Linked DNA regions of Notamacropus eugenii. The protein of the gene in region 1 purifies or fractionates together with the protein of each later gene. This does not show direct contact. Links are inferred from orthologs where the notes say so. Each region holds a gene or a part of one and is shown in the gene's direction. Other genes may lie near its edges.

Evidence for each region.
Region 2: the proteins of PHB1 (region 1) and VDAC2 purify together in Homo sapiens (affinity purification with mass spectrometry; 4 studies listed by BioGRID, with this or other methods). This does not show direct contact. The link is inferred for Notamacropus eugenii from reciprocal best matches to the Homo sapiens genes PHB1 and VDAC2.

What each region holds. Positions count from the first base shown.
Region 1 is NC_092873.1:351,427,514-351,431,258, forward strand, and holds the start of PHB1 (prohibitin 1), read left to right. Parts: upstream 1-1,547; 5' UTR 1,548-1,680; exon of another isoform or gene 1,681-1,725; intron 1,726-3,540; 5' UTR 3,541-3,579; coding exon 3,580-3,667; intron 3,668-3,745.
Region 2 is NC_092872.1:235,182,377-235,186,121, reverse strand, and holds the start of VDAC2 (non-selective voltage-gated ion channel VDAC2), read left to right. Parts: upstream 1-1,248; 5' UTR 1,249-1,595; intron 1,596-1,821; 5' UTR 1,822-1,845; coding exon 1,846-1,879; intron 1,880-2,513; exon of another isoform or gene 2,514-2,653; intron 2,654-3,154; coding exon 3,155-3,223; intron 3,224-3,745. UniProt on the Homo sapiens protein: Non-selective voltage-gated ion channel that mediates the transport of anions and cations through the mitochondrion outer membrane and plasma membrane.

The sequences.
Region 1 (3,745 bases):
CTCAGTTTCCTCATCTGGAAAATGAGATAATAATAGCACATACCTCCTAGGGCTGTTGTGAAGATCAAATGAAATAATAATTTTAGAGCGCTAGCATAGTACCTGACACGTAGTAAGCACCATATAAATGGCAGCTGCTACAATTGTTTTTGTTATTATTGGCACCCACTAGGGTCATCAAAAGTGGGTAGTAATTACCTGGTTTGACACATCCTGTCTCAAGTCTATGCCCCAGGAAAATGACAAACTTCTGTTGTCATTACCAGTTTCATAAACAGCCCCTCAGTGAGTCCCCTCAGTGGAGGGGCACCCACCAGCACTACTCATCTCTTCTTCCTCGGACCCTCACCAAAGGCTCCCTCAACCGACCTCCTTCACAATATCCTTCCTAGAAATGGCTCGCAGCTCCCTGCCCTCCAGGAAGAGTCTCAAGACCGTTCAGGGGTCCTTCTTCTTCCCTTTTTCTCTATGTTACCATTTTTTTCTTCTTCCACCTCCTGACATAGGTCAGAATTCCCTCCTAACTATTTAGATCTTTCTTCTGTGCTTTCACATTGAAGGTCTTCTGAGTGGTCGACTTTTTCCATTTGTTTTAAACACTTTATCCTCCCTGATAGACTCCAGAGAGAAGAAGCATCCTCAGAGTGCCTTCACCTTCTCTTCCAGGAGGAGACCAGCCATCTGGCCTTTGGGGAAATACATCCAGCACACCACCAGATCCTCCCCTGCTCTGGAGCCTTGCTAGAACTGCAGTCTTCAGCGCTGAGCCCTCCTGGTGGCAAGCTCCTGGCGCAGCCTGCGGCTCCCAACGTGGGACCCGCTTTCCCTCTTTTGCGCCCAGATAGCCAGCTGGCCCGTAACTGACCTGGCCTTTATCTTGCCGTAACAACGTGTTTTACTCACTGGTCTATCTTAACTTATCTTACAGACTTCCTCCCTCAGCTCACACTCCATGCTTCTGCACATACACGAGACGGTAAAGCGCAGGAAGGTCCTCAGGCCCACCCAGGAATGCCTTTGAAACTCTTTATGCGCATGGCCAAAGAATACTACAACTCCACTGCTTCGGACTTAAGGTTCGCAGAAGCATTTGACCCCCACTACCCAAGCAAGGTGGACAGCATGAGGGGCCGCTAGGTGGCGTGGTACAGTACTGGGCCTGAGTCATCTTCCTGAGTTTACATCCAGCCTCAAACACTTACTAGCTGTGTGACCCTGGGCAAGTCATTCAACTCGGTTTGCCTCAGTTTCCTTCTCTGTAAAATGAGCTGGAGAAAGAAATGGCAAACCACTCCAATACCTTTGCCTAAAAAATCCCAAATGGTGTCACGAAAGGTTGGACACAACCAAAACGAGTCCGAAACAGCCCAGAGGTTACCTTCCCCTAAGGCAAGGACGCAGTAGACGCTTCCGGCGGCACGTGTAGTCATTCCAGGTGAACTACAACCCCAGCAGCCTTTGGGGCCAACTTCAACCGTCCAATAGAAAAGGATTTTCTTCACCAGCTTAAAAGCAGCGAGGCATACCGGGAGTTGTAGTTCCCTCTCATTAGAAGAATAGGGGCTCAGGACCAGTCTTGAACCACCAATCCCAGAAGGCGCCACTTTCCTATTAGCCAACAGGAGGAAAGGTCCTTCAGGAGGGGGCGGTGAAGGGAAGGCGAGACCCGACGCAGGCGCAGTAAGTAGGGTTGGGGAATTCATGTGGAGGTCAGAGTTGTGTCTGGTGAGCTAAGGGTTTGGGCCTTTGATAACTGTGTTGTCGTGCCCCACTCTCGCGCGTTCCCGTGGGATATTGAGGGGAGGGGGCTCGAGGAAAAGAGGAGGTAGTTGAGGAAGGAGAGGAGAGTAGAGGAGCTGAGAGCCAGAATGAGAGGAAGTGTGAAGAGTCTGAGGGAGGGAAAGAGTAGAGGAGGAGGCTGGGGGCGGGGAGGAATGGAGCGGGCAGACTGAGAGAGGGAAAGAGCAAGAATGGAGGGGGAGGGAAAGAGAAAAAATGGAGGGAGGAGGCTGAGAGAGGGAAAGATTGGAGGGGAGAGGGAGAGAGCAAGAATGGAGGGGGGAAGCTGAGGGAGGGAAAGAATGGAGGGGGAGGCTGAGAGGGAAAGAGCAAGAATGGAGGGGGGAGGCCAAGCTTAGTGTGATAATGGGGAAGATGGGAAAAAGGAAATGGTAGAGACATGGGAGTGGAAGGGGACTCCTAGGAGGCAACTAGAATTTGAAGGTTGGTAACCTAGTGTTAGTGAAAAAGACTTGAATTCTGAATCAGGCATAGCTTGAATCCTTTGGTTCTCAGTTAACTTATCTGTAAATGAGGAATTGAAGTTACTTTTGTCTTCGAGGTGTTTTTAGATGTACCGATTCAGAGTGGATAGAAAGGTTTCAAAGCCAGGACGATCATCTTTAAATTCTTTCTCTGATACATGCTGGCTTGTGTCCCTGGACCAGTCACCTAATTTCCCAGTGCTCTAGGCAAGTTGCAGAGAAGGTGCCAACCTGCATTGCTGGAAGTTTCCTTACACTATACCAGGCATTCTTGAACTTGCCATCCAAGGGTAATTTTACACAGGGTCTGTGAGCTTGAATAAGAAAAAAAATTTACATCTTTATTTTCATTAATCTCAAACTGAAATTTTATCATTTTCTTTTATTATGAATGTAGGCAATGAACATTTTGACCCATGGGCTTTACCAGATTTCCAAAAGGGTCCATTATATTAAAAAGAACCGTTGCTTATTACACTGGAGTTATAGGTCCTGTCTTATCCTTGTGCCCTATAGTTAGAAAATGTGTGCTCTTAACCCATGGAAGGGAGGGAGTTATATAGTATTGAGGGGAGGAAAAAAATGAGATGATCTCTACAGTTAAGTGAGATTTCTGGTTTCTGAGGTCTAGTTAATTTCTTTTGATCTCTGAGAAACTTTCCTAGCTTTCCAAGAATCTATTCCTACTTCTCACTTTTCCCCCCATGCTCCACTGTCATGCTGGCATCCATCCAGAGGACTTTTCTGTCCAGTCTTTCCTTTCTCTAATAACATGACATTCTCCATAGAGGAAAATGGTGTTGATAGCCCTACAGTCAGCATGGCATTGCACATTGATCTTCTCTTTTTAAAATACTGGAATGGTTTTTGATGAATTCCCCATACTCTCACCCCATCCCCACTGTGACCACTAGAATCTGTTTTTGATTTGTCAAGGAGGAAGGAACTTTAACAGTGTGAAGTTAAATGGTGTTGAAGACCAGCCCCATGACTGACCGTAGGTGTACGATGCCCTTCCTAGTGAACTACCTTTCCCAAACCAATCTCAGCCCCTACCCCTGTCATCAAGTGTTTGTAACTGAACATGAAAGCAGAGGAACCATAATTCATGGAATTTTTAAGGCTTTCTAGGGTGTTAACCTGTTTAGCTAAGGATGAGCAGAACCTTCAAGAAGATAGAAATCTTACCCTGATTAGAAGATGAATTCAGTGGTTGGGAATGAGTTTTCACTAGGGAATGTATGGGCCAGGCTAGCCTTTTGTTTTCTCCCTTTAGGTCTGAGAGAGCAGAAGACCAAGACCATCTGAAGGAGACATGGCTGCTAAGCTGTTTGAAGCTGTTGGCAAGTTTGGCCTGGGCTTAGCTGTTGTAGGAGGAGTTGTCAACTCTGCTTTATATAATGGTGAGGGCAGTCTCCCGACTCATACTAAGGGTTCCTGTTGTCCAATGTAACACTCCTGGTAGTAATCACTATCTATGA
Region 2 (3,745 bases), on another chromosome or scaffold:
AGTTTGTATCATCAAGGTGGACCTGGACTCTCAGGCCAGAGCAGCTAGATATAGAGGTACAGGAGCCTTGGCAAGGCAGTTGGAGACCTAATTAGAGCCGGGTTTCAGACACCTATTAGCTAGGTGACCCTAAGGCGAGTCATTCAGCCTCAGTTTCCACATCTGTAAAATGAGTTGAGAGGCTCAACTGGGATAAAGTATGTAAAATGCTTTGCAAACCTTATGGCCCAGTTTAAAAGTAAGCTGTTATTCCTATCCTTGGTTAAGCAGGGCAGGAGGGCAAAGGAGGCATCGGGAGCTCTGGGGCGCCCCCAAGGCAGGTACCCTAAAGAATCAACCCGAGTTCCCGTTCAGGGAGAGGCTGCCGTGGGAGGGTCTCAGGGTGGAGCAGGCACAGAACCTGGGGGGGAGGTCCCACCCCGGACATTTAAAGATAAGCTGGACGCCCTTTCCCTTCGGCGGCCCGCGCAGTGATTAACAGTGGTAGTGGTCACAAAGTTACTAGGTGCGGGCCCGCCTGGGTGGGTCCTGGGCCTCGGGGGAGGTTGTGCCAGCCGGTGAAAGCCCAGTCCACTTCAGGTGAGGCTGAGGAAACAGGCCCAGGAGTGTAAAGTAAACAGAACCCAGGGACCCGCCCGCCTCCATTCTAAATCTGGAGAGCTGACGCCAATTCAGGGCGACAACCGCCCCCCCGGAAGTCACGAGGACTTTCTGGGCCTCCATCTCTTCATCCGCAAAATGGGCCTGAAGGAAGCACCCACTTCCCCGGGCGGTGGAGGGGATCCTGTGAGATAACAGGCGCGCTGCGCCCACGCGGAGAGCGCTAGGGCCATGCCAGCCATGCTTATTAGGACTGTTATTGGGGTTCCGTTGAAAGCTAGAATAAAAAGTATTACGTAAATAGCGCTCCAGTCAGACGAAAGAACGAGGATCACACAGGCCCCAGACGCTGGATTCGAACCCGGCTCTCTAGGACGGAGGACACGCTCTCCCCACCACGTGATTGCAGGGAGAGTGGCGGGGCTCCCGGGGAGGCGGAAGGGTTGGGGAGCCCCGCCCCACCACGAGCGCTCGCCAGGGGAGACCTGCCCTACGTGCAGATAGACTACCAGGCGGCGAGGGGGGGGTGTGGGGGCGGGGAGCGGGCGGAAGGGGAGGCGGGCCTCGGGGGCTCGTAAAGGCCCCGGCCCCGCCCTCCCCCTAGGCGCGCTCCGGCCCCGCCCCGCTCCTCGCGCCGCGGCCCCCGCCGTTCCCCGCCCCCTCTGCATTGGGGCTGCCCTCGCCGCTGCCTGATCGCCGTCTCCGCGCTCTCCGGGTATCCGAGAAACCGAGGCAGACGCGGCCCTCCCCGAGCAGGAGCGGCGGGTTCTCGGGCCGGGAGGGAGGTCTCCCGGTGGTCGGAACGGTCGCAGGGCGGCCGCGGTTGGGGGCCGGCGCGGCGGGCAGCCGCAGGGGGCCGCGGCGGGGTCCTGGCGGGCGGAACGGTGGTGTCTCCTTCACTTCGCCCTCCAGCAGCGGCAGCTACCCCCGGACGCGAGCGCGGCCATCGGCCCAAGCAGCTAGCGGAACGCCGGCGACCCTAACCCGACTTCCAGGTATGGCCGCCCCGCCCCAAGCCCGCCCGGGCCGGCCCGCAGGCCCGCAGCCTAAGGCGTCCGCGGGCCGCGCCGGCCCGGGCCGTACTCCCCAAGATGGCCGCACCGGTCGGGGGGGCGGGAGCGGCCTGAGGCGCCCCCGCGACCTCGGCCCCGCCCTGCCCCGCCCCGCCCCGAGCTGCCTCCCGGCCTGCTCCGACGCCGCTTCTCTCGTCCTTCCCCGCAGGTCAATCCTCCGCTCGGCATCGCCATGTCGTCGTACCTGCAGGATTGTGAGCGTCCGTGTAAGTGGGGCTGGGCCCGGGCCCCGGGGGTTGGGGGTCTTCTCCCAGAGTCCGGGCGAGGGCATGGCCAGACGCGCTCTGCACCCCTGGAAGCGCTTTGGAGCAGGCGAGTTAGGGGCTCCGGGTCGGCCGTCTTCCCTGACTGTGGCTAATCCTACGGAAGTGCTCTGTGCATCTTCGGACGTTACCGCTCGCTGGGGGCCCCCAAGGGGTGCAGGGGGCGTAGATGAACCCGGAAGCGGTCCCCCGCCGGCCCCCCATGGAGCCTGTGGAAGGGCCGGGGTGGGGGTGCACATGGAGCTGGGGCTGACTAAGGCTCTTTGCTTTGTCACGTACCGTGCTATGCTTCTTAGGGGACCTCGGGAGACTAACAGGGAAGACGGGTGGGGTGGGGTTTTTTCAGTTAAATGTGCATGAAATAGCGAAGAGTTGGGTAGACCAGTAAGACGCGAGAAATTTTTCTGTAGGGAGTGGAAAGTCCCCCCTGTGAGAGCACAAGGTCATTCAAAGTCTGAGGAAGGGCGTGGACCTGCCTCTTGGAATGAATGGATGGATGGGTGGGTGGGTGGGTGCAGGGGCAGGTCTCGAATGCTTAGATTTTCTGCTGTAGTGTTAGCTCTCCTGCCATATTTAGTTATCCGCAGGAACTCGTCAATGTGAAACTGAGCTGGTCTTTTCTGAAAGTAATGAGAATCCCTTGAGTCGTCCTGGTCTGTCTTTTCTACCTTCCATCCATTTCCCTGCTTCCCTCAACCTAGTTTTGACCTAAGCCAGGTAAGGGAGTTGGATCAGCCTCCCATTAAGATTTGCTCTTGTTCATTTTGTTGGAACCGTGCAGTTTTGTGGTCCTTTTACTTACTGTGTAACAATGCACAAATAGCCGTTTGCAGATAGAATAACCTGAAAGTTTTTCTGGCAGAAAAATACAATAAATATTTACTAAATTTAGGAGCTTGCACATCCATAATAACTTCTGGGGAATTTTAAACATTTTTTGGTAGTTACCTTCAACCCTTTTATTCTGAAATAAGGTATGGTTTGAGAACGATGAGCAGCCCCAGCATTCAATCGAATTAGGATTTTAAATCCTAATTTAGGGGGGAAAAGTCGGAAAAACTAAATTTCAGTGGAGTATACTAATGCTTATATTTTCAAGAGCCAGTAGAGAGTTAACCATTATTGTAGGTTTACTGCTCCTGTATATTCTTTGTACAGGAATTGGGTGGAAGAAGGAAAAGAATTAATAGTATGTGTTTTTTTTTCTTTTTTTACCAGCAATGTGTATTCCTCCTTCATATGCTGACCTTGGCAAAGCTGCAAGAGATATTTTCAACAAAGGATTTGGTAAGAACTTAATTTAAGATATAAAGGGATGAATCCCTATATACTAACCCCTTTTTTAAGGGAACAATGTAAATATTTCATGATCTTCAGAATTTGAACAAATTACCCTATTTTCGGATTTCTATTATGAAGTATACATTAATAATAGTCTTCCTGCTACAACTTCCTAAATAAACCATATTGAGCTCTATGCTAAAAATTTTTTTCCTTCTCTTTTAGGTCAGGTCTGATTTTGTAGATCAGACTTTTTAGAGTTGTGAAATCTTATTACTCTTTAACTTTAGGGAAGTTGATAACCTACACTAAAGTAAATTTTTCTTTGAAAATTCGTAACTCCTCTGGTCAATTAGAGACACTCTAAAATTAGGCAAAACTCTGTTTAGAATGCATGTCTGTAGTGTAATAAACTATAACCTACCCCAAGGTTAAAGTTGAGTTAAATGGTTTTCTGTATATGTGGAAAACTAAAGAAAGCACGTTTTGCCAATGCTGTAGAGAAACAGTCTTGTCATAGAAATGTTA